Oryctolagus cuniculus: one gene and its partners. The main gene of each other region encodes a partner of the protein of the gene in region 6 in a complex. Links are inferred from orthologs where the notes say so. Each region holds a gene or a part of one and is shown on either strand. Other genes may lie near its edges. The genes, in order: E3 SUMO-protein ligase RanBP2, UBA2, IPO13, RWDD3, XPO1 and UBE2I.

Evidence for each region.
Region 1: the proteins of UBE2I (region 6) and E3 SUMO-protein ligase RanBP2 are in contact, whole or in part, in a crystal structure (PDB 3UIO), measured with the Homo sapiens proteins. The link is inferred for Oryctolagus cuniculus from reciprocal best matches to the Homo sapiens genes UBE2I and RANBP2. Residues at the interface, in NP_003336.1 of Homo sapiens: Ile4, Ser7, Arg8, Gln11, Glu12, Arg13, Lys14, Ala15, Arg17, Lys18, Phe22, Gly23, Val25, Val27, Lys30, Met36, Glu42, Cys43, Ala44, Pro46, Gly47, Lys48, Lys49, Trp53, Glu54, Gly55, Gly56, Leu57, Lys59, Pro69; in NP_006258.3 of Homo sapiens: Leu2651, Lys2652, Leu2653, Pro2654, Phe2657, Phe2658, Tyr2660, Tyr2666, Val2667, Glu2669, Glu2671, Glu2672, Asp2673, Asp2674, Glu2675, Asp2676, Phe2677, Ala2680, Val2681, Leu2684, Gly2686, Lys2687, Leu2688, Tyr2689, Leu2690.
Region 2: the proteins of UBE2I (region 6) and UBA2 are in contact, whole or in part, in a crystal structure (PDB 4W5V), measured with the Homo sapiens proteins. The link is inferred for Oryctolagus cuniculus from reciprocal best matches to the Homo sapiens genes UBE2I and UBA2. Residues at the interface, in NP_003336.1 of Homo sapiens: Ser2, Leu6, Arg13, Lys14, Arg17, Lys18, Val27, Lys30, Asn31, Asp33, Gly34, Thr35, Met36, Asn37, Leu38, Met39, Asp66; in NP_005490.1 of Homo sapiens: Asp479, Gln481, Gly485, Lys486, Gly487, Thr488, Ile489, Leu490, Ser492, Ser493, Glu494, Glu497, Thr498, Asn501, Phe509, Asp520, Asp521, Phe522.
Region 3: the proteins of UBE2I (region 6) and IPO13 are in contact, whole or in part, in a crystal structure (PDB 2XWU), measured with the Homo sapiens proteins. The link is inferred for Oryctolagus cuniculus from reciprocal best matches to the Homo sapiens genes UBE2I and IPO13. Residues at the interface, in NP_003336.1 of Homo sapiens: Arg13, Lys14, Arg17, Lys18, Asp19, His20, Pro21, Phe22, Val25, Val27, Lys59, Glu99, Asp100, Lys101, Asp102, Arg104, Lys110, Gln111, Leu114, Ile125, Gln126, Pro128, Ala131, Tyr134, Thr135, Cys138, Gln139, Ser158; in NP_055467.3 of Homo sapiens: Leu33, Tyr34, Tyr35, Asp36, Pro37, Ile39, Lys42, Gln46, Glu73, Tyr76, Gln178, Thr179, Arg181, Gln231, Glu261, Val264, Asn265, Met302, Glu303, His306, Arg310, Val313, Glu317, Asn318, Thr355, Ser358, Leu359, Leu361, Thr362, Ser413.
Region 4: the proteins of UBE2I (region 6) and RWDD3 are in contact, whole or in part, in a crystal structure (PDB 4Y1L), measured with the Homo sapiens proteins. The link is inferred for Oryctolagus cuniculus from reciprocal best matches to the Homo sapiens genes UBE2I and RWDD3. Residues at the interface, in NP_003336.1 of Homo sapiens: Leu6, Ser7, Ala10, Gln11, Arg13, Lys14, Arg17, Lys30, Gly34, Thr35, Met36, Leu38; in NP_056300.3 of Homo sapiens: Glu3, Pro4, Glu7, Ser10, Val11, Ala13, Ala14, Ile15, Cys17, Pro98, His101, Glu102, Leu105.
Region 5: the proteins of UBE2I (region 6) and XPO1 are in contact, whole or in part, in a cryo-EM structure (PDB 9B62), measured with the Homo sapiens proteins. The link is inferred for Oryctolagus cuniculus from reciprocal best matches to the Homo sapiens genes UBE2I and XPO1. Residues at the interface, in NP_003336.1 of Homo sapiens: Ile125, Gln126, Tyr134, Cys138, Gln139, Asn140, Val142; in NP_003391.1 of Homo sapiens: Gln207, Gln210, Glu243, Thr244, Lys245, Tyr279, Gln282.

The regions. Positions count from the first base shown.
Region 1 is NC_091433.1:100,042,279-100,046,628, reverse strand, and holds the end of E3 SUMO-protein ligase RanBP2, read left to right. Parts: intron 1-840; coding exon 841-1,114; intron 1,115-1,238; coding exon 1,239-1,570; intron 1,571-2,250; coding exon 2,251-2,556; 3' UTR 2,557-3,472; downstream 3,473-4,350. UniProt on the Homo sapiens protein: E3 SUMO-protein ligase which facilitates SUMO1 and SUMO2 conjugation by UBE2I. Involved in transport factor (Ran-GTP, karyopherin)-mediated protein import via the F-G repeat-containing domain which acts as a docking site for substrates.
Region 2 is NC_091449.1:22,492,915-22,497,264, reverse strand, and holds part of UBA2 (SUMO-activating enzyme subunit 2), read right to left. Parts: intron 3,833-4,350; coding exon 3,768-3,832; intron 2,616-3,767; coding exon 2,515-2,615; intron 1-2,514. UniProt on the Homo sapiens protein: The heterodimer acts as an E1 ligase for SUMO1, SUMO2, SUMO3, and probably SUMO4. It mediates ATP-dependent activation of SUMO proteins followed by formation of a thioester bond between a SUMO protein and a conserved active site cysteine residue on UBA2/SAE2.
Region 3 is NC_091438.1:129,107,875-129,113,022, forward strand, and holds the start of IPO13 (importin-13), read right to left. Parts: upstream 3,254-5,148; 5' UTR 2,437-3,253; coding exon 2,353-2,436; intron 634-2,352; coding exon 1-633. UniProt on the Homo sapiens protein: Functions in nuclear protein import as nuclear transport receptor. Serves as receptor for nuclear localization signals (NLS) in cargo substrates.
Region 4 is NC_091438.1:75,462,245-75,467,118, forward strand, and holds the start of RWDD3 (RWD domain-containing protein 3), read right to left. Parts: upstream 3,025-4,874; 5' UTR 2,982-3,024; coding exon of another isoform or gene 2,897-2,981; intron 2,140-2,896; 5' UTR 2,131-2,139; coding exon 1,929-2,130; intron 1-1,928. UniProt on the Homo sapiens protein: Enhancer of SUMO conjugation.
Region 5 is NC_091433.1:141,245,468-141,249,817, reverse strand, and holds part of XPO1 (exportin-1), read right to left. Parts: intron 2,640-4,350; coding exon 2,591-2,639; intron 2,283-2,590; coding exon 2,163-2,282; intron 952-2,162; coding exon 823-951; intron 1-822. UniProt on the Homo sapiens protein: Mediates the nuclear export of cellular proteins (cargos) bearing a leucine-rich nuclear export signal (NES) and of RNAs.
Region 6 is NC_091450.1:33,711,697-33,716,844, forward strand, and holds the start of UBE2I (SUMO-conjugating enzyme UBC9), read right to left. Parts: upstream 3,428-5,148; 5' UTR 3,162-3,427; intron 2,979-3,161; exon of another isoform or gene 2,822-2,978; intron 2,675-2,821; exon of another isoform or gene 2,522-2,674; intron 1,028-2,521; 5' UTR 1,019-1,027; coding exon 953-1,018; intron 869-952; coding exon 785-868; intron 248-784; coding exon 175-247; intron 1-174. UniProt on the Homo sapiens protein: Accepts the ubiquitin-like proteins SUMO1, SUMO2, SUMO3, SUMO4 and SUMO1P1/SUMO5 from the UBLE1A-UBLE1B E1 complex and catalyzes their covalent attachment to other proteins with the help of an E3 ligase such as RANBP2, CBX4 and ZNF451.

The DNA of each region.
Region 1 (4,350 bases), on a different chromosome or scaffold from region 6:
AAGTAACCTTGCTATAGATAAAGTCTAAAGTAGTTAACCATATAAGCTTCTTTAACTCAGTAGTTAGGGAGATTATAGAACCCATGAGAGCTTTTTGTGTGGATAACTAGGTTTTATTTTTCTTATGTTGTTGATCTTAGTTATGATTAAAGCTGACCTGAAGAGAGCAGTTTATGTGAAAAGTTCTCATGTTTTAATGTCTTTTGTTTTTTTTTTTTTTTTCCTTGAGAGATGGGTAACATTTGAACAGAAGCATAAGAAATTGTTAGTGAATCAAGACAAACACATTTGAAAGAAAGGAACTGTGTATTAGCATGTTAACAAGTCATAACTATTTTTTCTGATAGTTTGAAAATCTTTAGTTATAGAACAGTGGGTTTTAACCCGTATCACATTTATACTTGCAGAAATTTATTTTGTTGTTCCTAGTTGGAATTGACTCAATAAAATCGGCAAAACTGAACCCACAAAAGTAAATATAAATAACCTTTACATTTTTTGAACAAGATTATTGTTTTAGGAAAATTGTCCTCTTTTTTTTTTAGCCTGGATCAGTGGTTGATGTTTCTCTTCAGGAACAGGGACTTCTTGAAACTTTTTGTTTACAATATAGGAAGCAATTTTTAAAATGCAAATGAATACTGTTTAAAAGAAAACTATTTAATAATAAATTTGCTCCCTCCTGCTTCAACCAAATCAGATGAATTTGTTGTGCCTGGATATTTACCAGTGAGCACATTATGATGTTAACGTCATTACAAAGAAAATGTCTTAAAGAATTTGAATATTTGAAACTTGTTATATGCAACAGCTTATAGGTAATTGCTTCTGCTAATCCAGGTAGAAGTAAAATCTGGAGAAGAAGATGAAGAAGTTGTGTTTAAAGAGAGAGCCAAACTTTACAGATGGGATCGTGATGCCAGCCAGTGGAAGGAGCGTGGTGTAGGAGACATAAAGATCCTTTGGCATAGGATGAAGAACTATTATCGGATCCTAATGAGGAGAGACCAGGTCTTCAAAGTGTGTGCAAACCATGTTATTACCAAAACAATGGAATTAAAACCCTTAAATGTTTCAAATAATGCTTTAGTTTGGACTGCTTCAGATTATGCTGGTGAGTTTCTATTTGGGAATGCTACTTTTCATTTTTGGTCTTTCCTGAACCCATAACAAACATGTTATTCAGTTGGTAGTGATTATTTTAATCTTAAAGGTATTCTCCATTTTTATCCCAATAGATGGAGAAGCAAAAGTGGAACAGCTTGCAGTGAGATTTAAAACAAAAGAAATGGCTGATTGTTTTAAGAAAAAGTTTGAAGAATGTCAACAGAATTTATTGCAACTCCAGAAAGGGCATGTTTCACTGGCAGAATTGTCAAGAGAGACCAACCCTGTGGTGTTTTTTGACATTTGTGCCGATGATGAACCTTTAGGGCGTATAACCATGGAGTTATTTTCAAACATCGTTCCTCAGACTGCTGAGAACTTCAGAGCACTGTGTACTGGAGAGAAGGGCTTTGGTTTCAAGAACTCCATTTTTCACAGAGTAATTCCAGATTGTCTTTGCCAAGTAAGTATGATTGTCCATCAGAATTGAAATCTAGAGAAGAGTGTGTGCTGCATAAACTCAGGAAGTTGAGTGTTCCTTCCTGATCTTATGCTGTAGTGTGAAAATTTCTGTAGATTGCCCACACATTAATTGGTTTTATCACCCTAATTCCTAGCTCTGCCAAAAAGTTTCAACCTAAATGGGTCTGAATTTTCTGTTAACTGGGGTGTAAGAGGGTGGGGAAGTGATGGACGTTTTAATTTCTTAATTGTCTTTCAAAAATACATATTTCTTAGTTTTCAAAGAGCTTTTTTGGGGGAGGGAGTGCAAAGATTTATTTCCTTGTTTAAAAGACAAAGTGAGAGAGACCTTCCATCTGTTGGTTCACTCCCCAGATGCCCAGAACAGTAGAGTTGGTCAATGCATGGGTGTCAGGGCTCAGATACTTGGGCCATCTTCTGCTTTCCCAGGTGCTGTAGCAGGAAGCTGGTTTGGAAATAGAGCTGCCTGGACTTGAACCAGCACTCCAATATGGGGTGCTGGGATTACAGGTGGCAGTTTAACCTACTGAGTCACAATGCTGGCCCCTTAAGTTGCATTCTTCAGGAAGCTGGTTGTTTAGGACTTAGCCTGCAGTGATGAATTCTGTGTGTAATTCAGTGTTTGACTGAGAATTCCTAGTAATTAAATTTTTCTTTCAGGGGGGAGATATCACCAAACATGATGGAACAGGAGGAAAGTCTATATATGGAGATAAATTTGAAGATGAAAATTTTGATGTGAAACACACTGGTCCTGGCTTGCTGTCAATGGCCAATAGGGGCCCAAATACCAATAATTCTCAATTTTTTATAACACTGGGAAAAGCAGAACATTTGGACTTCAAGCATGTAGTATTTGGGTTTGTTAAGGATGGCATGGATACTGTGAAAAAGATTGAGTCATTTGGTTCTCCTAAAGGGTCTGTTAGTCGAAGAATTAGCATCACAGAATGTGGACAGATATAAAATCATTGGGTTTTTTGTAGTAAATTTTATCTGTATAAGCAGTTGAATCAAAGCTTAGCTGTTACAATATGGTAATTATGTTCAGCTTTTGAAAATGGACGTTTCCAATGTATAAATGTACAATTGCAGCTCATAGCTGTTGTCACTTTTTAATGTGTTATAATTGACCTTGCATGGTGTGAAATAAAAGTTTAAACACTGGTGTATTTCAGGTGTACTTGTGTTTATGTACTCCTGATATATCTGTAATAAAATGGAATAGTAATAATAATCTTGTTAAAAGCAATATACCTTCACAGACTATTGAAGGGATTAAATATATGCAATTTAATTTTAATTCCTTTAAATATATGTGGACTTCCAGCATGGAAATACTTAACATTTGAGTAAGGGACCACAACTTGGATAATTTTATTTTGGATCTGAAATATATTTGGTAACCTTAACTGTTGGTGTGCTCATTTATGCATAGAGACTCATTTATGAATGGGTAGTGCCACAGAAGGTAGAGTTAACCAAAGTGCTCTTCTGTAATCTTACACCTCTTGTATAGTTTACAAATGAACTTTTAAGTAGAGTACCTTCTTTGCCTAAAATATATAGCTTCTGTGCCCTTTCAAAGGTGTTAAATTAATTTTTTACATTTTAAGCAAATTGACTATTTCCTTTTTTAAAAAAAGAAAACAAACTTTTTTGTCATCTGTCTCTACTACCTCAGCAATTTCAACTTGGTCCTGATGATAGAAATTGAATTTTTCCTTGCAGTTATTGTGATAAAGTATGAATATTTTTAAAGGTCTATACCATGTTCTTTGGTTAAAGATTTGCTTTATACTAGATTGTTGCAGTATCTTTTTCTGGTGACTTTTGTAGCAGAAATAAAGTGACAATTGACAACAGTCATGATATTTAAAAAGTTCATTACTTGTGCATCTAGTTGTCTGTTCATTCTAGTATTAGACTGAAGTACAGAGGGCAATTAAAGGTCAGTACTGTTAACTCAAGCTGCCGCGTAATTTCCAGAGCCCCCGAAGGAATACTTCCCAAGTTTGATACACTGAAATGCAGTTAAAAGTGGCTTGTGTCACAAGTTAGGCAAACTGCTTTAAAACATGTTCTTACTGGCAGACTTCACGTAGAACCACAAAGAACCCAGTCAGAGCAGAAAATTGTGTGTATTGTGATCATGAGTATTGACCGTCTTCCACCCTGTGTGCCTCTCAGTGAGACAGTTCCTTGTTCCCTGTGTGGTGACGTGGAAATGGGGCGTCATGCAGAGAATGCCATGCAGCCGATGGCAGGGATGCCACGCGTGATGTGTGTGAATAATGAATGATTGAATACCAGCACTAAATCAACTTGAAGCTGCCAGAAGTAACCCAGCCGCAACAGTTCAGGTGAATTACCTGAACCTTGAAGGGAACCGTGAACTGCATACGTGCACATTTAATACTTAGAGTCGGCTTCTTTGCAAACCTATGTAATATAAATTGATTAAAAGTGAGTTCTAACTTTTCTGCTGAGGCAGTTGATGCAATAGTCATGCTTTTAGGGTAAACTGTAAGTAAATGCAAGTGCTTTTTAGACTTTTTACACTTTGGTGGTGTCCTAAATTAGGCATTAAAGTTACAGACTTAAAGCTTTAAAAAAGTTGATAAAATAACATATAAATTAACCTTTCCAGTATTAGTATTCCAAAGCTGCTAAAAGTGGCTAGAAGCGTTTGTAAGGAAGTCTTCTGTGTCACATTTCAGGAAAGGACTTTGATTCCCGGTTACTTAACTGCTGAAGTGG
Region 2 (4,350 bases), on a different chromosome or scaffold from region 6:
AGTCAGGAATGGGAAAAAAAAAATTTATTCCATGATGGCAGTCTCTCAACATTATAAGGTAATTATAAACATTCATTCATCTAACATTCCAACTGGGTTTTATATTGTCAAAGATGTCTGAAAATATTGGTGACTCCAAGATTCTAATTTTAAAGAGGAAGAATCTTTAACACAAAAGCTAACTGAATCAACCATAGTTACAGCGAAGGCCAAATCAGGACTCCTCTGATTCCTGGCCCAGTGATCACCAACACCAAACCAAATAAAATCACTGCATTTCAATGTCAAATTTGAGAACTGTACCTTCATTTCAATAAACAAAAAATACCAGAAAGCAGCTTTCCAACCAATTACTTCTCAAAGTCAAAAATGTGTTGAATATTATTCACAGCCACATCCGTTATAATCTCCTAAAAATTAAGTGAACTCAAAGTAGTTACTGATTTTAAGAGATTAATCTTGACACCAGGTATTGCCAAGAAACACTCTTCATTTTGCTGATACACTTTTATGACACTTGAGACAATTTTTCACAATAATCCAATGAGTCATCAATGGGGGCCAGCATTATGGCACAGCAAGTCAAGTCAGGGTTTGGGACTCCTACCTCCGACACTGGAGTGCCTGTCTCTTAATTCAGCTCACTGCTAATGCATCCTGGAAGCCAGAGGTATCACCTCAAATACTAGGGTCCCTGACACAAAAATGGAAGATCCAGATGGGAGTCCCTGGCTCCAGCCTCAGCCTGGCTATTGTGGGCATTTGGGGAGTGAACAAGCAGATGGAAGCTCTTCCTCCCTCTCTCTGCCCTCCCCACCCTCTCAATCTGCATTTCAAATAAACAGACTTAACAGAACAAAGTCAACTGTCCTCATCTTGGCAATTCTTACTGCTTAGCTACATTCTGGTATCTCAGGATCACAGTAATAAATAAAGTACATAAAAAGCAATCCCTTTTGAGTAGTAGCAAAGAAACAAAATCCACAAATGTTGCTTTAATAGAAATTGCCAGAGATTCAGCTTCCTCCTTATTTCCATTTCTCATGCCTTTGGCCTTCCAATATGCTTTCTTGGGGGCAGCCACATGGCAAGCAGTCATCCCTTATATGAGTTTAAGAAAGATGCTGCCTTGATCTGTCAACAGATATTGAATGCCTCCATTTATTCAAATACACTCAATACACATTGACAGGTACAAGTCTTTGGAATGATACTGAATAAGCTTCCAAGAGCAATATGAGTATTTAACAGTTAAAACTGAAGTAGACCCTCAGTTCTCAACAAGGATAAACTGCCCTCCCCCGCAAAAAACACCAAAGCCAGCCAATTTTAAACCCAATATAATTTCCTTTTCATAATTTCATTCCTACAAACGGATTTTTCAAATGCCATCTATGCTTATTTTTTAAAAGAAAAAAGATCCAAATGGCAAATTAACAATACTGAGATTTTACAAAACTAGGTTATAGATAAATAGGTATTTGCTCCGTTATTTTTAGTTTTATAATAATGTTTGAAATACTTGACAAATACTCTCAAAAAGTTTTCAGTTGTCTTCAGATCTATAAATCACTTTTAGACAAAATGTAGCCTTTAGAAGCCTGGTTTGCCAATTATCAACTACAACATGACACGTTGTCTCATGGTTACTGAGAACTTGAAAGTAACTACTGAGCAACCAGAGAAAGACAGATAAACAGAGAAAGAGAGCTCCCATCCACTGATCCACCCCTCAAATGCCAACAGTGAGGAATGGGACAGATGCAGAGCCAGGATCTGGGAACTCACTCCAGGTCTCCTGTGTGGGTGACAGGAACCCAACTGCTTAAGTTATCACTGCTGCCTCCCAGGGTCTGCACTGGCAGGAAGCTGGAAATCAGGAGCCAGAGTCGATTACAAATCTAGGTACATTCTCTGATGGATAATACATAGGCATCCTAATCAGTATCTTAACAGGCTAAATGATTATCCCTACCAGAAACCTTTGAAGTTTATTATACTAACCAGTGCAAACAAAGTGGCATAGAAGATCTCTTTGCCCATGGTCTGTGTACACAGAGCATTCCAAGTTTTATGAGCATGAAAATTCTTACATGTTGGATTTTTAAAAAAAATTTTTTTAAGATTTATTTTATTTATTTGAAAGGCAGAGTTAGAAAGAGGGAGAGACAGAGTGATCTTCCATCTGCTGGTTCACTCCCCAAATGGCCACAACGGCCAGAGGTCAGCCAATCAGGAGCTTCATCTGGGTCTCCACATGGTTGCAGGGGCCCATGCATTCAATCTTCCACTGCTTTCCCAGACACTAATATTAGCAGGGAACTGGAACAGAAGTGGAGCAGCCAGGTCTTGAATCAGCACCCATATGGGATGCCAGCATTGCAGACTGTCCCAATTGTACCAACCCCACTTGCTCTTATTGCATAAATCCAAGGTTTACTTCTTCCAACCCCAAGGTCCCAAATAAGTATCCAAAATATTGAAAACAACTTTTTTTTTTTTTTTTTTTTTTACCTTTTTGATAGTAGTTACTTGCCCAAGATAACCGGCAGTCCCACTCTCAATAAGAGGGACGTCAGCTGCCAAACACATCCTATTAACATGATTTCGGGCAGCTGGAAGAAAAATACTAGTCAGCAAAAGGGTTTCTGAAAAAACAAATTAGTTACTTTTAATTAATTAGGATGACACTCACTCAAACTATTTCTTAATGTTTCTATATATATAACTATCTTATGGCTATGCTCAGAGTAATACATGCAAAAGAAATCCATTTGGCAAAATCTCATATAGAAACTTGTATTATACATTTACTCCCAAGGAAAAGCGGCTCTGGAAACAAGTAATTTTTTTAAGTTTCAAAATGTCATCTTTCTGTAATACTTGGAAGTAAATGAATAAAGCGGATTATCAGCTTGGAACTATTTAGGCAATTTAAGTTTAGGGAGAAAAGGATGAGTCAGGTTAAGTCATTCTCTTTGTGTTTTTTCTTTTGGTATTTCAGGCCCAAAATTATTATAAACTCACTCAACAAAAACACTTTTACAAGCAGAAGTAACAATAGGCAAGGAATAAGATTTAAATATTTTTACCCCTACATTCTAAACATACAAATCTGGTAATAACTGACTGTATGATTATGACCCATCTCTTTATATTGTGAAAAGTTTAAATGGTTAAAAAAAAAGTGTACATCCAACAGAATCCAGCATGGTATCCTTTGGCACCAAATACACCTAAGACATTTCAAGAACCATGACTCTGAACTTCAGTATCCTATTACTTCATTCTCCAAAAAGCAATTTTTCAACCCTGACCTCCGTTTACAATCATCTGACCAGCTCTGAAAAAATATGATGCTCAGGCCCCATTTTCAGGGTGATTCAACTGGTCTTATGTAAGACGTAGGCACTGGGATTTCTGAGCTCCCTACATAAGAAAGCCATACTATATTTTAGTGCCCCCAAAATCTGAAACAAACACATCCACATACACCCTCCACAGTCACCTTCTCTAGAGCATTTAACTTTCCCTTCATTTACAACTTTTGGTGCAACAGCATAATACATGATAGCTAAATCCCTGCCTGGGACAGCTAAGCTCTAGAGAAAACTGCAATCAACCAGCAAGCTTGAAACCTGAACTTGCTTTCACTTAGATTTTAAAGTACTAACTCAAAAGGAAATATTTTTAAGAAATACTAAATTTGTAAACAGCTTTGATGTGGGGGAGGGGGAAATATTGAGAAAATATTAAAATAATCTCACCTCTGTTATCTAAAGCATTCATAACTAATATAAATTGTCGAAAAAATTCCACATTATAGTCCGGGCTACAAAGCAAAACAAAAAAGGTCACTAAAACAACTAGCCTTACATACGATCTTCTCAGTACCACACAGAGTCCTGAAAAGTATAATGTATTAAGAGTGCAAAAATAACTGATATGAGCAACAGACAGCATTTACATAGTAAGGTTAGACATTTCCAAACATAAGCATATTTTAAGGAAATCATTTCCCCTGAATTCCTATCCTTTTCGCCAGCTACCTAGGGCACCAGAACACGACCTCAAACTGGCAGAAAGAAGGCATGACTTCACTAGTCCCATCAGGCCTTCTCCGGGCATTAAGTGCCTGGGAACACGCAGAGAACACATTCCCAGGGTCTGCCTTGCCTCTGGGTTCACCTCACATGGTCAGGATCAGGCAGGGTTCAGGCCCCTGGAGCCTCTGCTTTTAGCAGCACTGGGAAAGCAACACAGGGTAAGGGTTATACAGCTACAGGCAGGTTTGCAGCAGAGAATAAAAAAAATAAGCTGGAGTCACAAATGTCCTGAGTGTTACAACTT
Region 3 (5,148 bases), on a different chromosome or scaffold from region 6:
GCAGTCCTGCAGCGGCACCTCCAGCTGCACCCAACTGGAGAAGCACTTGAGCACCTTCTGACGCACACAGCTGGGCGAGCTGGGCTGCTGGAGCAGCTGCTCCAGCAGTGGGAAGACGGCCCCACACTCCACAGCCAGGCTGGCCCGCACCAGGCCTTTGCGGTACTGGGGCAGGCGGCTGGTCTGGAACTCCTCAGGCAGCACTGTCAGCAGCTCCAGCAGGGCCAGGCAGCGGCCCTGGCCATCCACCGGTGAGTCCTCGGCCTGAAAGAGCCGTACCATATCCGCCACAGCACATGGCCAAGCGTCAGGCATCATACTGAGAGCCAGCGAGGCCAGTGCCACGCACAGCCGAGTCAGCACAATCTTGGAGCCGCTGGCAAAGCGGGTGATCTGGGTGAAGAGCTGTGCCTTGAGGCTTTCATACTGGTCAGTGGGGATGTCACTCCAGTAGCGAGAGATCTTGATGTGCAGGGCGCTGGCGCCAAAGTACTGGATCTCAGGCACCTTGTCGGGCTGCAGTAATTGCCAGCTGAAGTGCCAGGCCTGTGGGGAGACCTGGGCCTGCATCAGCCACTTCTGAGCCAGGTTCTTGTTCTCAATGTTGGGGTCATAGTAGAGCTGGTGCAGCGCCTGCAAGACAGCACAGGACTGAGCAGCTGCTGGCCGCTGGGGATCCCGCCAGGGCCCAGAGCAGAGCGACTCGGTCCTGCAAGACCTGCAAGACGGCACCCCCTATCTGATGGGAGTGGGGGGTGGGGGCGGGGGGCTCAGCAGGAAGGCTCTTGCAAAGTTGCCTGAGGTACCACTGGCATCTTGAGTGCCTCAACCTTGCCCTGCTCTACCCTATCCTCTTAAGAGTAAAACCACTATGGGTTCCGGGACAGGGAGGCAGAGAGAGAGGAGCGGAGCTCTCTAGTGGGAGGCACCTGAGGGCAAGGCCCAGGGGGAAGGAATGGCTCCCTAAGGATGAAGCGCAGCTGAGAAGAACAGGAAACAGCCTGAGGGGCCCTGACCCTTACAGACACAGCTGCTCCAGTCAACTCCTACAGCTCCATTCATCCCCCCGGGATATCACTAGGTCACTCCAGATGCAGGCACCAGGGCCAGTGTGAAACCTGAGGAGGACTGAGACTTCTGCCAGGAGCCCTCAGGCAGAGACAGCCTAGAGGGGGAGGGGGAGAGAGCACCCTCAGAGAGCACACGCAAAGGTCCCATAAGGTCTAGTAAAGAGCCGCTTGGGCCACAGCCGCAGTCCTAGCAAATGCCTGGTCCGGAGCTCTCAACTAGCAGAACCTCCGGGGTCCCAACTCCAGTGGGAGTTCACGCAGTGGGAAAACAGTGGCGTATCTCCCTGGTAGCACACAGAACAGTGCCAATACAGCCCAGCCCCAAGGAGTGGGTGAGTGAGGCCAGGATCCTGTCCCACAAGCTGGCTCCATCCAAGTAGGCTGAACCCCATTTGTACCCCCTGACAGCCAGCTCTGGCTACTGTCCCTTGTTCGGTCCCTCAGGGATGCAGAGGCGGAAGGGAAGCCATCCTCACTGCTTGTTATGGCAAACAGGGCTCAAGAGTAACAAGTGAACCTTTGCGACCATCCCCTGCTTTCCGGCAAGGTAGCCCATGTCCCTGTTCACCCCAGGGGCCATGCATTCTTGCATTCCAGGCTTCTGGGAGCCCAATGCTGAAGACAATCAGAGAAGCAGCTCAGAAAACAGGGACTGGGCAGGGGCCAGCCAGGGAGGGCTAGGGCAGGGCGTGATGTGAACAGGTGAGTAATGGAGGGCCTTGTAAGGTTCCCAGCAGGGCCAGGCCCCTTGACACAGCACAAAACAAAGAGGGGTACGCCCCACTGCTGCCTGCCCAGGCCCAGCACCTGTGCGGTAAAGAAAAGACCCTGCACCCAAGAAAAGTGAGAACGTAACCCAGGCTGTTTGGGCTCCAGATTATCTTCTGAGCCCCTGACTCGACACAGGTGTAGGATAACTCAGCATCAGTGTGGTTTCCAGGGACCAAGCTGCAGGTCTCCTTGGTTTCTTACTGCACCGCTCATGCATTTCCCACAGAGCTGGAGAAGAGCCAGTCTGGCTGAAGTCTGAGCCACCAGCACCGAGGGGGTACATCCCCAAACCCCGTATCTGTCCACAGAGGACCCAGGTCTAAGGAAAGCCAAAAATAGCCCACGAGGGCACTGCAACACTGCTGTCCTGCTGGCCGGAGACACGCAAGCGCCAGGTGCTCCAGGGGCACCATCCCAGCAGGCACCCGGCCCAGGCCTGAGCTCCGGCCTCAGTGTCAGTCCCCAGAACTTCTGCTCTGTCACTCGAGTACCCACCCCAAAGCCCTCGTACCTTCTCCACGTTCTCCACAGTGAAGTCCAAGGCTGGTGCTGCTCCAGCCCCTGCAGCTCCCGGCTGCTCCTCCCGCCGCTCCATCTTGGCTCCCTCCCCAGCAGGGAGGTGGACCCTGATCTGTCTCCTGCCCCAGCCCCTTGGCTGCTGGCCCCCTGCTAGACCCCGGCTTGTGTGTCCAGGGAGCTGCGGGGTGACGGGGGACCCAGGGCGGGCATGGCTGCCGAGGCCTCCCCACCTCCTTCGGGGTGGGGGGCTTGCCAGGGACCCAAAAGGGGGACTCTTGGGAGGAAACCCAGGGACGGTGACCCTGAGGAGGGAGCCGTAAGTGAGGGGCACTCAGGCCGGGGTCCTAGTGGTAGGTCAAGGTTCTGTCCCCAGAATCTGTGAGGAGGGAGGCCTGTGGGGAAAACCGAGTGCCGAGCCCGTGCGGGGTCACAGGGTCGACGGCCTGTACCCACAACACCCTCGTCTGTGCGAGCCCTTTGGCGCCGTGAGGAGGTCACCGGGCTGGGGGGCACGGGGGAAAGAGAGCCCTTCGCGGGTTACAGAGGCGTCCAACGAAGCGCGAGGGTGTAGCTTCGCGAGTCAGGGGCGAAGAGTCCGTGGAGTTGGGAGGCTGTGGCAGGTCCTCTCCATTCGGCCTGGCCCGCGCTCTGCTCACCGCCCCGCTCCGGCCCCGCTACCACGGCTACTGCCGCTGCCTCCGCCCCAGTGACTGACAGATGAGCCGGCCCGGCTGGGACGGGGCGGGGACCTCAGCAAGGCGTGGGCTGCCCCGAGCGCCTGTCGCCGGCACCGCCAACTCAGGCCCCCACCCCTGTCTGTTCTGGCCCGGCACGACCCGGCACTGCCCGGCACGGCCCAGCGGAACTGCGCGGAAACTCATTCCGGGTCCTTGGCCCTGTCCTCGCGCCAGCCCGCGCGCCCCCGAGCAGGCGACGGCGTGGTACGGCGCGCCGCCCGAGGCCCCCACGGAGCCGAGGCCCCGCCGCTACGCACCCTGGGAAATGTAGTTCGTGCTGAGCCCAGCCGGAAGGCGGCACCTCGCGGAGGAGGCCGGGGGCACATGGGTTGGGGCCTGAGAAGGCGTAAGCACCCCCCAGAGAAAAGCGGGGCTACACGCCGGAGGAATATAAAAGGACGGCTCAGGAACACCCAATACCACATACCATGGACAGTACTCGAGGAATTTCCTGAGGTTTTTGGAAGCAACTTCCCCCGATGTGTGCTTTGAATAAGACTAGCTCCCGTTTAAACCCAGGAGCAGTGCTTTGCATGCCTTGGGTTCCGTTAGGTTGGGGAAGTTGAGCTTATCTTGCCCCTGGACACACAGCTGTGGTGGCAGAGCCTGGCCCGGCAGTCCCTGCCTCTCACTCCCCCAGCTGTCCTCCAGTGAACTCCTGGCAGCCACCCCCGCAGGGATGGGAGGAAAAAGCAGAAGGGCTGGGGCGGGCGCTGTAGCTTAGTAGGTTAAGCATCTGCCTGCTGTGCCGACATCCCATATGAGCACTGGTTCGAGTCCTGGCTGCTCCACTTCCGATCCAGCTCTCTGCTGTGGCCTGGGAAAGCAGTAGAAGATGGCCCGAGTGCTTGGGCCCCTCACCAGCGTGGGAGAACCAGATGCCATTTGGGGAGTGAACCAGCTAATGGAAGACCTCTCTCTGCCTTTCAAACAAATAAATATAGCAAAAGGCCTACTGTACTTGAGTTCCAATGGAAGAGGTGGTGATGGCTGAGAAAGTTGATGAAGGCCTGAGGAAAGGGAGCCTCACTTAGATGCTAAGCAAAAGTACAGTGGAACTCCAGTCATTCAGCACATCTTCAATAAGAAAGTGCTGAAAAGGGGCCGGTGCTGCCTGTGAGGCTGGCATCCCGTTTGGGCGCCGGTTCCAGGCCTGGACGCTCCACTTACCCAGTCCAGCTCCCTGCTGCCTGGGAAAGCAGCAGAAGATGGCCCAAGTACTCACATGGGACCGGGATGAAGCTCCTGGCTTCAGCCTGGCCCAGGCCTGGCTGTTGTGTCCATTTGGGGAGTGAACCAGAGGTTGGGAGCTCTCTCTCTCTCTCTCTAACTCTGCCTTTCAAATAAATAAATAAGAACAGCTGGTAACCTATGTTCCATATAAGGGGAGATTTTAGGAGTGGGTGATGCTGAACCCCTACCCCTAGACCATGTAGGCTTCATTGGGCCCCATATCTTTTCCTTGGCTGCTCCTTGGTACACGTCAACTCATTAAGTTAAGGGAGTGATACAGGGTAAAGCCAGAGCTCTCAATGTTTGCCTCTACTCTGAGAGCTTTGCAGGAATGCACAGTCCCCTGATCCAACAAAGTAATACCCAAACCACACTTAGACCCAGACAGACTGGAGCCCACCTTTGCCATCCCAAAGGAAACCTGCTGCCCCTATCACTGACCAACTGCAGGCCCACACAGGAGCCGATCATGCACTTGGAAACCTAACATTGAACTAGAGGATTCACTGCCTTTCATCTCGGAGAGTCCAGGAATTAAGTGCTAGCTACCTGGCTCCTTGGTCTGCATGTTGCAATAAACACTTGCTTTTCTCCATCACCCTGGTGTTGCTGATTAACTTGCTGTATGCCAAATGAGCAGACCCAATTTTGGGGTTCTACAGCAAGTCCTCCAACCATTTTTGGGGTGTTCTATGACGTGGGGAAGGGAGAGAAGATGGGTTGTAGAGATGAGGTTGGAAGACAAGTTGGGGACAATGGACTATTATAAGAGTTTGGACTTTACCTTAAGTGTAATATGACACTATGGTGAGGTTCCC
Region 4 (4,874 bases), on a different chromosome or scaffold from region 6:
AGTCACACACAGCAGTGTGAGGACTTACATAATCCCCACTGCTAAGAAGTGATTACCAAAGATGCCTCTTACTGTGAGTTTACTATTACTTCTTTTTTTTTTTTTTTTTTTGGCAGGCAGAGTGGATAGTGAGAGAGAGAGAGACAGAGAGAAAGGTCTTCCTTTACCATTGGTTCACCCTCCAATGGCTGCAGCGGCCGGCGTGCTGCGGCCGGCAAACCGCGCTGATCCGATGGCAGGAGCCAGGTGCTTCCTCCTGGTCTCCCATGGGGTGCAGGGCCCAAGCACTTGGGCCATCCTCCACTGCACTCCTGGGCCACAGCAGAGAGCTGGCCTGGAAGAGGGGCAACCGGGACAGAATCCAGCGCCCCGACTGGGACTAGAACCCGGTGTGCCGGCGCCACAAGGCGGAGGATTAGCCTAGTGAGCCGCAGCGCTGGCCTACTATTACTTCTATAAAGACAGAAATGTAGATAAAGCCCCTCAAATTCTTTGCATTCATGAATCCAGTTACAACAGACTCCGATTATTCAGCCTCCTTGATCAGACGCCCTTAACCGTGGACCCTTGCGTCAGCAGCCTGAGCCTTCCTGGACTTTCTTGTCACCAGAAGTGCCATCCCGCCTAAATGGTCTCCAGACTCCAGTGCTTATCTGGGGGAGGCCAGGAAGGAACGGGTGGGACTCAGTGTGACCCTGCGAGATACACTGACAGTGAGCACACGCTCACTGCGGTCTGTAGAGAAACCCTCACCTGACCCTTAATTCCCAGTTGCGAGCATCAAATCGTCCCATTCCAACCACTGAAATTGCTCTACCTTGCAGAGAAACCGCTCAGCAACAAGACACCCTAAGTTGTTACACTGAATTCTTTTATAATTCAATTACTTACTGATGCCAGAACACTGAATTAAATTAATTACGAGGCCTGGCTTCAAATCCACGCTCAATTTAGCAGCAGATAAAGGGTCCACACTGTTCACAATACTAAGAAACTACTCTAAGCTTTTTTTTTTTTTTTTTTTTTTTTTTGGTATGGTCTCTCCGACCCAGCAGCTGAGTTTCACACTCAGTCCATGTGCTCCAGAGCCAGGCCGCCACCACACCACCCTCTATAAGGTGTGAGGGGAAAGTGCAGGCCCATGGTTCCAGGATGCTCCCAACTGAGCCATCATAAAGGAACTTCGGAGAACTCATGATGTCTTCAAATAGCTGCCTCGGGCGGAAGCAGTTACCAATGTGAAGAGTGTCCAAGACAGGGAGGGGGATGCCGAGCAATTAGGAATGCTATCCAGACACAAGGCAGGTGACGCTCAGTAAACCCTTCCATGAGGATTCTAAGGACGCTGTGGTGTAGTACACTAATCCTCCACCGACGGCGCCAGCATCCCACATGGGCACCAGCTGGAGTCCTAGCTGCTTCTCTTCTGATTCAGTTCCCTGCTGATGTGCAAGGGGAAAGCAGTAGAAGATGTCCCAAGTCCTTAGGCCCCTGCACCTGCATGGGAGACCCAGAGCAAGTTCCTGGCTCCTGGCTTTGGATCAGCCCAGGATGGAAGACCTTTCTCTCTCTCTCCCTCTCTCTGTCTGTAACTCTACCTCTCAAATAAATAAATAAAATCTTTAAAAATTAAAAAAAAATTTTTTAAAAGGACTCTAAGCCAGGCTGGGCACTGGAAAGAACAGGGCTAGGGTTGCAGTACCTGGGACGTAACAGTAGTCGGTATACGTGTATGCACGGTGACTGCAAGAAGAAACCCGCCACAAGGGGCTAGCTCCTGCTCTGTGGGTGAATAATGGCACAGGGACACTGGGGAACTCTCTCAGTCACAGGGGCTCTCCTCATTGCACACTGCCTTCTTAAAGCGCAGTCAATTCATGCTCACAAGGACAATTTCAATACCGGTTTCAACATGAGAAGATACATACCATGCCTACTCAAATGCAGAGTATATTTGAAAGTGGGGGGATCCCATATGGGCCAGGTTGGAGTCCCAGCTGCTCCACTTCTGATCCAGCTCTCTGCTATGGCCTGGGAAAGCAGTGGAGGAGGGCCCACGTCCTCAGGCTCCTGCACCCACGTGGGAGACCCGCAGGAAGCTCCTGGCTCCTGATCTCCAGGCTTAGCCATTGTGGCCACCTGGGGAGTGAACAAGTGGATGGAGGCTCTCTCTCTGTCCTTCCTGCTCTCTGTAACTCTGCCTCTCAATTAAATAAATACATCTTTTTTAAAAATTAAAAATAAATTTCAAAAGAAAGCTAAATAAAGTTCAGAACTATTTGCATCACTGTACTTTCTCATGGGAACAGACTATTAAAAAAATGAGTCAAAAGAACCTTTCTGGACCATCAGCTCTTACACGAAAGGGCAATGCAGGTCAAGGTTTGTAGAATTCAACACACGTGGGCTTAAGGATCAAGGCGCCCCCCAAAGTCTGTGACCGGCAGCCCGGTTCCCGCCCACTAGACAAGTACGAACAAGGCAATCTACTTGGTAACGCAAAGCAGACCAGGCTGGACTGGAGCACCAGGTGGGTCAAAATAGTCACTCAACAAACCTCTACTGTGTACACAAATACTAGTGGAGTTAAAACCGTCTCCACAGCGTAACGCACAGTGCTTACGAAGGACACATAGCCTTCTGCGAGTGCTGGACTTCAGGGCGGGCAGGGGCTATCCAGAGGCCTCCATTTCAGGTGAGACCCGCAGGACAAGCAGACGGGCCTCCCCTCCAGCCTGCTCCCACGCCGCTGCAGGCCCCGCGGGGTGCGCATCCCTCCTCCGGACTTGACTCTCCGCGCCCCCGGCTGCGGGCCCACGCTCAGCGGTGGAGAGGCGAAGGCAGAGGGAGGCCCCGTCCGGAGGGTGCCTCGTCCCGCCCGCGCGAGGGTAGTCACCTGAGCGGCTCAGCACCTCCCACTCGTGGGGCCCGCAGAAGATCGCGGCCAAGGCCGAGAGCTCCTCCTGCATCGACTCTGCCATGGCCGCGCAGCCCGGCCGGCTCGGCACTTCCCGTTCCGTTGCGAGCCTGAGCAGTGCGACCCAGCGGCCACGGGGGGGCGCCCCTGGCCACCGCAGCCGGCGACGGGGGCGGGGCGGCCACGTTCAGAAGCCCCGCCCCAGACCTCGGCTCCGGACTCCAGACGCTAGCTTCAGCCCCTTGGGTTGGGCTTTCTCTGTGAGTTCTGAAGCCCCACACCTGGGTCTGCGAAGATCGCCTGGCTCGCTCGCGGCTCTCCTTTGCCGAGAGAGGTCTCCCAGCAAAGTCTCAGCTCCATGCTTGCAACACACCCCCCAGACCCATGCCCTGCCTAGGTTCTGCTGGGCTGGGGACTCAAGGGTCCAGAGGAACTTGGTGGATAGGAGAGAAAAAACAAACGGGAAAATAAATGAGCAGCAGATGAGATGGACCCTTGTCCGCTGGGGGTTGCACTAAGCGTTGGGGAGACCCTGGAGCCCTGGAGCCCTGGAGGGGGTCCCGGCTCAGGAACCTTAACAGGTGCAAAAGGGACAGCCCTGGACTTCCTGGGCAGCTGTGCGCCAAGTCCTAACGTCCCCCATTCCTCAGGTGCGTTCAGCCGGCGGTGCTCCTTGGCCCTGGTGGGGTTGCGGGGAGGAGGTGTCCTGGAGAGTAAAGGCTGCTTTCTCTGAGTTTTTGATTTTGTCATACTCAATGCGTGCAAAGCACAATGAGTGTGTGTGACTGTGGCTCTTGAAGCTTAAAGTGAAGATGAGCCTCCTGGACCCCAGCACCTGAGTGGAGGGATCTGAGCCATGCTAATAGGGTTACAGAGCTGGAAACCCACCGTGTGCAGGCGTGGCCCCGAGCTGATGGGAGCTCCTGCTTTCCAGCGTGCGTGGCTTATCCTTTTTTTTTTTTTTTTTTTCCTTCTTCCCAAGTACCGATTTCAAATGTTGCAGCCCTAAAAGCAGCTGGCCCTGCTCCGGGAGGTCCCGTAATTTTGTTTATATCAAAAACAGTATTTCAAGCGATAAATCAAAGTGGCTACTCAGTTTCTCCTGATTTTGACCTGTGGAAGCCGGAAGAACAAACTTGGCTGATTTGGGGACTCCAAATCCATGTTACATCATCATCATCATTCTCACTGTGGTTAAAAAAAAGGGGGGGTGTGGAGGGATTTGAAAAGGGAAATGATACTGGGTTTCCGAGAATAGAAAGGAAATCTGACAACATGGCCTGCAGAGAGAATGGTTTGAGGATGCCATGGGATTTCAGTGACCCTAAGTAATTAGCAGCACTGCTGTGCACATAATTGGAAAGAGAAGGTTTATTTAAACTCATAATTATCTCTGATGTGACCAATTTGTTTAAAAACAAACAAACAAAAAAAAACTCCTTTGAGTTATTTCCAAAATAGCAGCCATTCAGATCCATCATTAACTGAGAGAATAGTGAACAAAAGAATAAATTTTTTAAGAATAAATTTTTAATTTAAAATATTCCTAAGTTATTTGGTCTTAGTTTGAAGTCCAACATTACTCTTAAAAGTGGTGGGAAAATATTAATTTTGTTATTTGATTTATTCATTAAATATAAACTACAAATTAATGGAAGAGTTCTTAGAATATTTTTAATTTTCCAAAATCAACATAACTGATAGTGAAATACTATGCACAGCAAGGTGACAGCTTGGCGGAAGTGTTGGGGAGGCAGGCACGCCAGGGTCCGCCAGGGGTGCCCGGAAATTGATGTAAACCTACAGCAAACAATTACTGTATTTACAATTTTCATGTCAATATGGCTCCTCTGTTCTTCCTTTCTCTGTTGATTTCTGAACCTGCTCTTCATCCTTCATTTAACATGTTTAAATAAAGAAGTCTGTGTGAATGTCTTTTAAATTGACACTATCCTGA
Region 5 (4,350 bases), on a different chromosome or scaffold from region 6:
CTGGAGAAAATACATTGTTGGGGCTGGCACTGTTGTGTAGTAGGTTAAGCTTCTGCACAGCATCCATATTGGTGCTGGTTCAAGACCCAACTGCTCCACTTCCAATCCAACTCCCTGCTAATGGTCTGGGAAAGCAGTGGAAGATGGTCCAAGTCCTTGGGCCCTTGCACCCACATGGGAGACCGCAAAAACGCTCATGACTCTTGGCTTCGGATCAGCTCAGCTATAGCTGTTGTGGCCATTTGGGGAGTGAACCAGCAGATGTAAGATTTCTCTCTCTATAACTCGGTTTCTCAAAGAAACAAATCTTAATTTTAAAAAATGTATTCTTTTGACACACCTAAAACCTTTACTTCAAGTAATTTTCAGTTCCCATTAAAAACTTCTGTTTTACTACTGATTTTATAGAAACACAATATTTCAGAGTTGGCGCCTTGGCCTGCAGCGCCGGCATCCCATATGGGTGCCAGCTCGAGACCTGGCTGCTCCATTTCCTATCTAGCTCTCTGCTATGGCCTGGGACTGCAGTAGAAGATGGCCCAAGTCCTTGGGACCTGCACCCGTGTGGGAGACCCAGAGGAAGCTCCTGGCTTTGGATCGGCACAGCTTCAGCCACTGCAACCAACTGGGGAGTGAACCATCAGATGGAAGACCTCTCTCTCTCTCTCTCGAACTCTTTCAAATAAATAAATCTTAAAAAAATAAAAACACAATATCTCAATACACTTGATGTGTAACACATGGAGGTAAAATATCTGAACTTGAATCCAACATTTTCTAAGGCACAAAAATGGTTCCATTTTCAAGATAGCAGACTATTACCTGTTTTAGCTGCATCATTGTCAGTGTAAATAGCGTTACAAATTGTTCCTCATATTGGCTTACACTCACACCAGCAATCTCGGTGAGGCACTTCAGAGAGACATTTCGAAACATTGGAACATTCAGGAACTATATTTTTAAAAAAGAGAAACATAAAATTAAATAGCTGAAGCACATGATGCTTAAGATAAACATTTTAAGGAAAGGAAAAGATTTAACAATCAGAAACAAGTTAGCAGTCAAATAGGTAAGTGAATGATATGCCTTATTTTAGAGATTATTTTAAGGAAATTCCATCATCTAAGGAATACTATGAATTTGGAGAAAATATATAAGTGGCAAAGCTATCAGTGGGTGGCAGTTTGGTAAGCATTAAAAGCCTTAGCCTATTACATTCTATTCATAAGACACCTATAAAGACTTAAATTGAACAATAACTATACCACTTACAGTAACATTTAATTAAATATATGTCCTAGAAATAGTTGCAGAATTGAAAACTTGAGACTTAATGGGATAGAAATAGACATATATGGGCCATGAGTATCTATTCAAGTCCTGCCTGCTCTGCTTCCAATCTAGCTGTTTATGCATTTGGCAAAACAGTACAAGACTAGTACGGAATATTGGGCTGCTGGCTTTGGCTTGAAACAGTCCCTGCAGTTAGGGCCATTTGGGGGATGAACCAATAGACAGAAGAGATATGTCTCTTTTTCTCTGTAACTCTGCCTATTTTTCAAGTAATAAATCTTTTAAAAAAGGACATGTCTATTGACCTGCTAATTCCATTTTAAACAAATTTACTGGAAGGAAATGCTTGATATGAGTATAAATATCCTATATACACAAGAATGTAGCTGAGAGTGAAGGGGTGACTGGTTAAGTGGCTGAACTGTTGGGATGCAAACATTCCTTTTTTTTTTTTTTAAAGAGTATCATGGTTTAGGTCCTGCCTCTTCCCAAGATTCCCCAGCTTCTGGGAAGTAGCAGGTAATGCTTCAAGTAAGTGGGATGCCTAAACTGAGGTCCAGTCTAGGCCCTTGAGGGCAATCTGAGAAATGACCCAACAGAAGGGAGCAGTTTGTCTCTTTCCCAGCCTCTCAAATAAATGAAAAACAGAAAAGGTGACTAAATATAATCAAGTCTGTCATTTAAATTAAATGAAATTATAGGATATAAGTGGCAGAATCACAGAATTTGACTCATTTCAATTACTAGCTATAATTATGGAAACATTCCTTTTGTGCACTGTCACCTCAGAAACACTGGCTATGCAGAAAGATCTTTACAACTTAAAAGGATATATACAAGTAAGCAGTAACAAAATATATTCATACTACCTTATAAATTAATGTGCTAATTAACTTGGTCTCAAAAATATATCCCAGTGGAATCCAGTTCAGAAACCTGAGCAGTGTTTCCAAGGTTGCATGTACAAGTGGAGCATTTTGAGAATTTTCCTGTAATAAAAACACATCTGTAAATATTATTTTCCTATAACTTATTTTTGAAAATGAAACTAAGGGCAGGCACTTCAGTTCCATACATTAAATTTCTAATTAAGGCACATCCTGGGAGGCGGCAGTGATGGCTGAAGTAACTGGTTTCTTGTCACTCAAATAGAAGACACAGATTGAGTTTCCCAGCTCCTGGTTTTGGCCTTGCCCTAACCTCAGCTGCTGCAAGCATTTGGGGAGTGACCCAGCAGCTAGGCACACAGCCTCTTAGGGCTTGGTTTTGAAATAAAAAACAAATTAAGAGCACTTACCATCACAAACTGACACAGCTGAAATATCTGTGAGAACTCATTGCACATGCTTAAAAAAAGAATAACAGGTTCCAATTTAGAAGACAAATAAACACCACATTTATATACTAATAAAATCATTAAAAATTTCATGATTTTAATGACCTGTCATCAGTCAGAACTTGAGTGACTTCAATTTCAACACACTTAAAGTACCAATCAAAAGCAAGCTGTTAAAACTACAAACACTAAGGCCAGTTTTGGCACAGCGGGTTGGGTTCCTGCCTGAAATACTGGCATCCCACTGGTCAAGTCCCAGCTACTCCAGTTCTAATCCAGCTCCCAGCTAATGCACCACAGAGGGCAGCAGAAGATGCTGGGTACCTGCCACTATGTGGGAGACCTGAATGAATTCCAGGTCCTGGTTTCACCTGTCCCAGTCCAGGCTGTTGTGTCCATCTGGGAAATGAACAGGTGGATGGCTATTAGACATTCTCTCTTTCTCTCTCCATCTCTGACTGTAACTCTGCCATTCAAAAAATAATTCTTTAAAAACAAACCCAAAAGCACTCTCTAATTCTCACCTAAAAGGACTACTGTCAAAAAAAAAAAAAACAAAAACAAAAAAACAAAACTTCATTTCTTAGGAGTTTGGTTTTTTGACACATTTACTCTTATTTTATCCCTTCAATAATCTCTCAAGTTTTCTCAAGTTTTGTTCTCTTTAATGCACATACTTGAAAGAAAACTCTCCAAACAAAATAGCATTACATAGAGTAGCTCCTCCCTTCCCCAAAAGGAGGTATGTTCCAATCCCTAGTGGTTGCCTGAAACCATGAATAATACTGAGCCCCTATATATTCTACCTATTTCCATATACAGACTTGTGATAAAGTATCAATTAGTATGTAGTTTACATATTAAGTATACAAAAAACATACAGATTAACAATAATATAAGGCACTAAAAAGTTATGATTGCAGTTTCTCTCAATATCTTATTGCAACCACTAACAGCTTCTCTTTGGCATATTCAAATTGCCAGCATGGTTACTCTTGCACTGTAAGCACTAATACCATAAAAGACTATTTGAAACTCTAGATAGCTACAATCTGATTAAAGGGTAAGTAGCAGCTCATCCTCATACAATGTGGATACGCTGAATGAAAGAATGATTCTTATCTTGGGTGGGACAAGGGACAAATTTCAACCCATAACTCGGAATTATGTGCAATTTAGATTTACAGCAAGACAGAAATCTGCTGGTTCACTCTCCAAAAGACTGCCCCAGCCAGGGCTGGGCCAAGTCAAAGCCAGGAGCCTGGAACTCCTGTGTGGCAGGGGCCCAAGTACTTGGGCCATCTTTTCCTGCTTTCCTAGGCACATCTGCAGGAAGCTGGATCAGAAGCAGAGTAGCCAGGAGGCCAGGGGCTAACATGGCACACCAGTGTCCCATGTAACGGTTAACCTACTATACCACAACACTGGCCCGTTATTATGTTTCAAAGTATTTTGCATTTAGTATTTTCAGCCATGTTTGACAGCAGGCAATTGAAACAATGGAAAAACAAATGACAGATAAAGGGAGAACTAATGTACAGCCCAAACCCCAAAATGTGCTCACAATAATTCAGAGAAAAAATGATAAATCCTTTAGCTTATTTAGCAAAATCTTGTATTCTTAAAGAATAAAACAAATTTGTTACTAAATGGAAGAAATGTATATATACTTTATTATTTTTTTTTTTAAATGAGAAGTAGAGAAGCCGGGACATGAACTG
Region 6 (5,148 bases):
GGCACTGGGTGTCAGTGCAGGGACCTCGTCGACAACCACTAAGAACCCGGGTCTCCCAGCCCCTTCCCCCACAGCCACAGAGCTGCAGGTCAAGCAGACCACCCCTCCCACCAGGGCAGGGACCCCCACGTGCGGGTGTGGGCGCAGGCGGCCGGCGGGCCCCGGGCGACTCACATTTCGGGGGCGAGGACGGGTAGTCGTCTTTGAAAAGCATCCGCAGCTTGAAGAGGCCGCCCTCCCACGGCGTCTGCGGGGACAGACCAGGTCAGGGGCCACGGGCGCCCGGCGGGGCCTCGGAGGGGCCGGGCAGGGCTGCACCGGGCTGCAGGGGACCCGGGGCTCGGGCACGAGCGCGGCCAGCAGCCCTCTCCCTGAGGTCCGCCATGGCTCCACCAGCCCCCGGGGCAGAGTCCAGTCCTGTCCGAGGGAGGAGGCAGCCACGCCAGGCTGAGCCCACGCTGCAGAGTAAACCCTGGGGCCGGCGGCTCCCGACCAGGAGGCCACCGTGACGCATCGGGAGGGGCGAGGAGAGCTGGGCCACGTGGTCAACCCCCATCCCGCGTGGGGAACTGGGTTCGAGTCCCAGCCTCCTGCCAACGCAGACCCTGGCAGGCAGACGGCCCCCGCCCCCCGCATGGCCCTGCCAGTCTCTCCAGCCAGGGGTGGGGCTTTGGAGCTGAGGCCACTGCCAGGTCAGGGACCGCGAGACATAAAGCTCCCTCTCGGAGCAGCCACCAGCCACCAGCGCGGGGTCCTGCCGCCGCCCCCCGCCCCGGCCGCTTACCCCCTTCTTGCCGGGGATGGCGCACTCCCAGTTCATGAGGTTCATCGTGCCGTCGGGGTTCTTGGTTGGGACAGCCACGAAGCCCTGCGTGGACAAGCAGGGGAGTCCCCGGGCGCTCAGGCCGCCCCGCCCCGCCCGCCCCCGCCCCCGCCCGCGGGCTCTGCTTACAAACGGGTGGTCCTTCCTCCAGGCCTTCCTCTCCTGGGCAAGTCTGCTGAGGGCGATGCCCGACATGTTCCAGTCCTGGGGACACGGGCGCCGTGAGGGCCCCACTCCCACGAGCCCGAGTCACGCCAGGCTGGGAGGGCCCCACACCTCAGGCCGCGGGCGCACGGCGCTGCTGAGGGGGGCAGCCCAGCGCCGCTGCCCCAGCCTGGCCTCCCCCACGCAGGGCGCCTGCGCCCCGGACCCGAGGGCCAGCGCCCTGACCAGGGCCGGCCACAGCGGCCCTCAAGGTCCAGGACCACAGCCCAGGGCCCAGGCCGCCGCGCCTGGACTCCACCAGCTGCTGTCTGCCCCGTCCTCGGAACCCACGGGTGTCGCCCTCCAAGTCCCTGGCTACAGAGCCACTCCACGGCTCACCTGGCACTGGTTAGAGGGGGAGGCTCTGCCCGGGGCGGGCGGCATCCCAGAACCCAGCAGGCGAGAGCCCAGGAGAGCCAGACCTCCACAGACGATCGGACGAGGACCACGGTCCTCGGGCTCCTGAGTGCCGGCGCCTCCGGCCGTCGCACACCGCGCACGGCTGCAGGCTGAGCCCACGGCTGCTCCACTTCCCAGCCGGCTCCCTGCGGGGGGACGCCCAGGGCCTTGGGCCCCTGCACCCGCGTGGGAGACCAGAAGAGGCTCCCGGCTTCCACACGGCCCAGCCCCAGCCGACGGGGCCGTCTGGGCGAGCCAACCAGCGGCTGCGCGACCTCTAACTCTGCCTTGACAATAAATAAACCTTTAAAGAGGCGAAGCCGCCGCCAGGCTGCCACGCCTTCCCGCACCTGGCGCCCCAGCCCGGGCCCCTTCCGGGAACAGGCGTGGCGGCCCGGTCCCAGCACACCTGCCTGTGGCTCACCACAGCCTCCACCTGCACGGGCAGCGCGCGAGCCAGCCCCGGGCGCCCTGGGGTCCCCGGAAGCAGGCAGCACAGCACGGGGCAGGGGCCGGCAGGGGCCTGGGGGCCGCGGGGAGCCCGACGTCGGTCCCCAAGGCTCCTGTGCGCCTCTCACACCCTCCCCGCTGCAACCCGCCCTCCCGAGCCAGCGCATCAGAACTGCACCCCTGCCCGTGCTGGGCCCGAAAGAGCTCCGCCCACAGAGACCCCCGCGGCGGGCGGCGCTGCCCGTCCGGGCCGAGCCACAGGTGCGCACCTGCTCGGCGCCGGGCGCCCGGCCTCAGTCTCAGCACGCAGCCGCGCTGGACAGGTGGGCTGCCGCGGCCCGCACCGGCCGCCTCCGTGGCCCTTCTCGGCCCTCCCGCACCCGCGGACGGGCCCTCTGGGGCATGCACCCCACGCCTCCCTCGGCTGCGCCCGACCCCCGTCCCGGGACCCCCGCGCCCCGCCAGACAAAGGCACAGCGGCGGGCTTGGCCAGCGGCCTTGCGGGAGAGGGCCGGGGCGCCGCGCGGGGCAGGCGGCCCACACAGGCCCCGGGAGGCGGACGGAGGGCCGGGCGCGCTCCGGGCCCCGAAGACGCGCGACCCCCGCGGCGGGGCAGGGGGCTGGGGGCCGCGGCCACGGCCTCACCTTGGCCGGCACGGAGCCGCCCGCCGCCCGTGGCGAGCGGGGCGCTCTCGGCCGCGCAGGAAAACTTCCCTCGGCGGCGGCGGAGCCCCCCGCGCGCCCGCTGGTCCGCAACCGGCCGCTCCCGGCGCCCTCCCGGGCGGCCCCGCGAGCCCCGCGGCCCGAGGAAGGCGCGGCCCGGGCGGCCGCCGTGACCCCGAGGCCGCGCGCCGCCCGGAAGGCCGCGGCGCCCGCCTCGCGCCCCGCGCGGGCCGCCGACGGCCCGGCCCGAGCCCGCGAGGCCCCCCGCCCGGCCCCGCTCACCTCGGGCGGCCGCGGCCCGGCGAGCGTCACGGACGAGCGGGGGCCGAGCGGCGGCGGCGGCGCTTCCCTTTGTCTCGGGACTTCCCTCCGGAGCCCGCTCCGCGCGCAGCCCCGAGCGCCGAGGACCCCGGCGCGGGCGGGGCGGCGGGGCGGGGCCTGGCCCGGGGCTGCCCGCCGCACGCCTGCGCCGCGCGCCGCCGCCGCCGCGCCGCGCCGCGCGCCGCCCGCGGCCCCGCGCGCTCCTCGCCGCCCGCGCCCCGCCGCCGCGCGCCCGCGTCCCGCGTCCCGTCGGGGAGCCCGGCCCGGGGGCGACTTTCCAGTCAGGCGGCGCCCTGGACACCTGTGCTCTTAAAGGAGCCGCGTCCTCGAAGTGAGGGAGCGTCTGCAAACTCTCCTTCGGGGCGGGCGGGCGCACTCGAGGATACGCCGGCGAGCAGCCGGGGAAGGGGCGCGCCGCGTTCCTCAAGGGCTCCCCGGATGCCCGGCGGGCGCGTCTCAGCGCGTAGGTTCCGGAGGTCTCCTTGGGGCCGGGGCCCGGGGCCGGGGGGCAAAGACCACTGAGGCCTACGGATGCCCGAAACGGCGCAGGACGGCGACAATCCCCTGAGTCTGGCGTCCTGTGAAACCCCCTGCAATTGGCCAATGCAGGGGCCTGGGCGGGGCATCGTCCAGATCCGCCCAATCAGCTGACGCCGTACGGAAGGCCGGACGCTCGCCAGACCGACGGGAGGAGAAGCGCCGACGCTCCCTAGCCCGGGGCCGTCCCGCCTGGGGGAGGGGCGCGCCGGGATTCCCGCGCGCGGTCTCGTCCCACGAGCGCGAGCGCGCGGTTCGCGGGTCCGCGCCGTCCCGCGCGGGCACGGCGGGGTCGCCCCTGGGGCTAGGGCGCCGTCCGAGCCGTCGGCGCGGTGGGCGCCCGGGGCCAGGCGATGGGGTCGGCCGCAGAGGGCCTGGAAGGCACTCATTCACGCCCTCCTCCAGGCTCCGCCGTCCGCAGCCTTCGCAGCTCTGGTTTGCCGGGACACGGAACGTGGCTGACAGGCCTGGCGGCAGCGGCGGAGACCCCCGAGGGGGCAGAGACGCCCCTCATTCCCCGCGCCCCTAGGTCCCGGTCCCAGCTTCCCCGCGGTCTGCGCTGGGCTGTGTGGCCGTGGAGAAGCCGCTGGACCGCGGCCCTGGGGTCCCAATGGGCAGGGGTGGGGGGCAGGGCCTAGGTCTGCAGGTGGGGGGGGTAGGGCCCAGGTCTGTGGGGAGGGGGAGCTGGGGGGCCCAGGTCTGCAGGTGGGAGGGGGTCAGCTCAGGGGTCCCGGATCCGCGGTCCTCCACACGGGGACACCTGGGGCAGGGAACCCACCTCAGATGGGCCAGGTTCAAAGGACACACTGAGGCTGGGGGGGGGGGGTGAGGGCCCCGGCCCCGCCTTGGGGGGCAGCCCTCCACAGATCACCCACAAATCCGGGCTGGGGGGCTGGTCAGAAATCCACACCTGAGCAAAACCCAGAACTCCCGAGAACAGGTGCGTCCCGACCCCGTGCCGGGGGCGGAGCCGGGGTCTGGGCCCACCCTCGGGGGGGGGGGGAGTGTGCGTCCCAGGACAGCCGGCGACCGCGGGCCCACCCCGCCTCGCACTCCCGCCCAGGGAGGAGCGCGCAGAGAGGCTGTGTCCCGGGGGGAGCGGAGGCCGGGCCCTCCTCCCCGTGGCCGCCCTTGGACGCCCTTCGCTGCCCACCGCCTGGTGACCGCGGGCAGCGCTGTCCCTGCCCCAGAGCCGCGCCCCGCCCGGATGCGGGACGCACCTGCCGCGCGCTCCCGCCTGGGCCTCGGCTGCCTCACTTCCGTCTCCAGACAGGGCCTCGCGCACCTGCGCCGCTCCCGCCTCCGGCCTCTGCCCGCGAGCGCTGCCCGCCCAAAGTCGCCTGCGGGGGCTCCTCCCCGGCCCCTGGGCGGCCGGGCGGGCGCTCTCGGAACGCCCCGGGGGCAGGGGTCCGTCTGCCTCCGCACCTACAGGACTGCGGCGCCTTTACCTGCCCGGGTGGCCCTCGCGCGGCTCCCCCGCGGGACCTCGCACCTGCACAGCAGGTGGGCAGCCGGATGCTTGGCTGCGCGGGGGAACCGGGGGCGAATCCAGCCGTGCGGTGCGCCTGGAGCCGGGATCCCGCTCGTACGGGGAGGGGAGCAGCAGGGGAGGGACGCGCGCAGGCCCGGCAGGGCTCGAACACGCGGAACGCGAGGCTGTTACAGGCGCCAGGTGCGCCTCCTCCTCTGCTCCACCGGGCCCACCGGCGACACCTGGCGTCTCGGCCCCGCTCCGGGCCACGCACGCACAC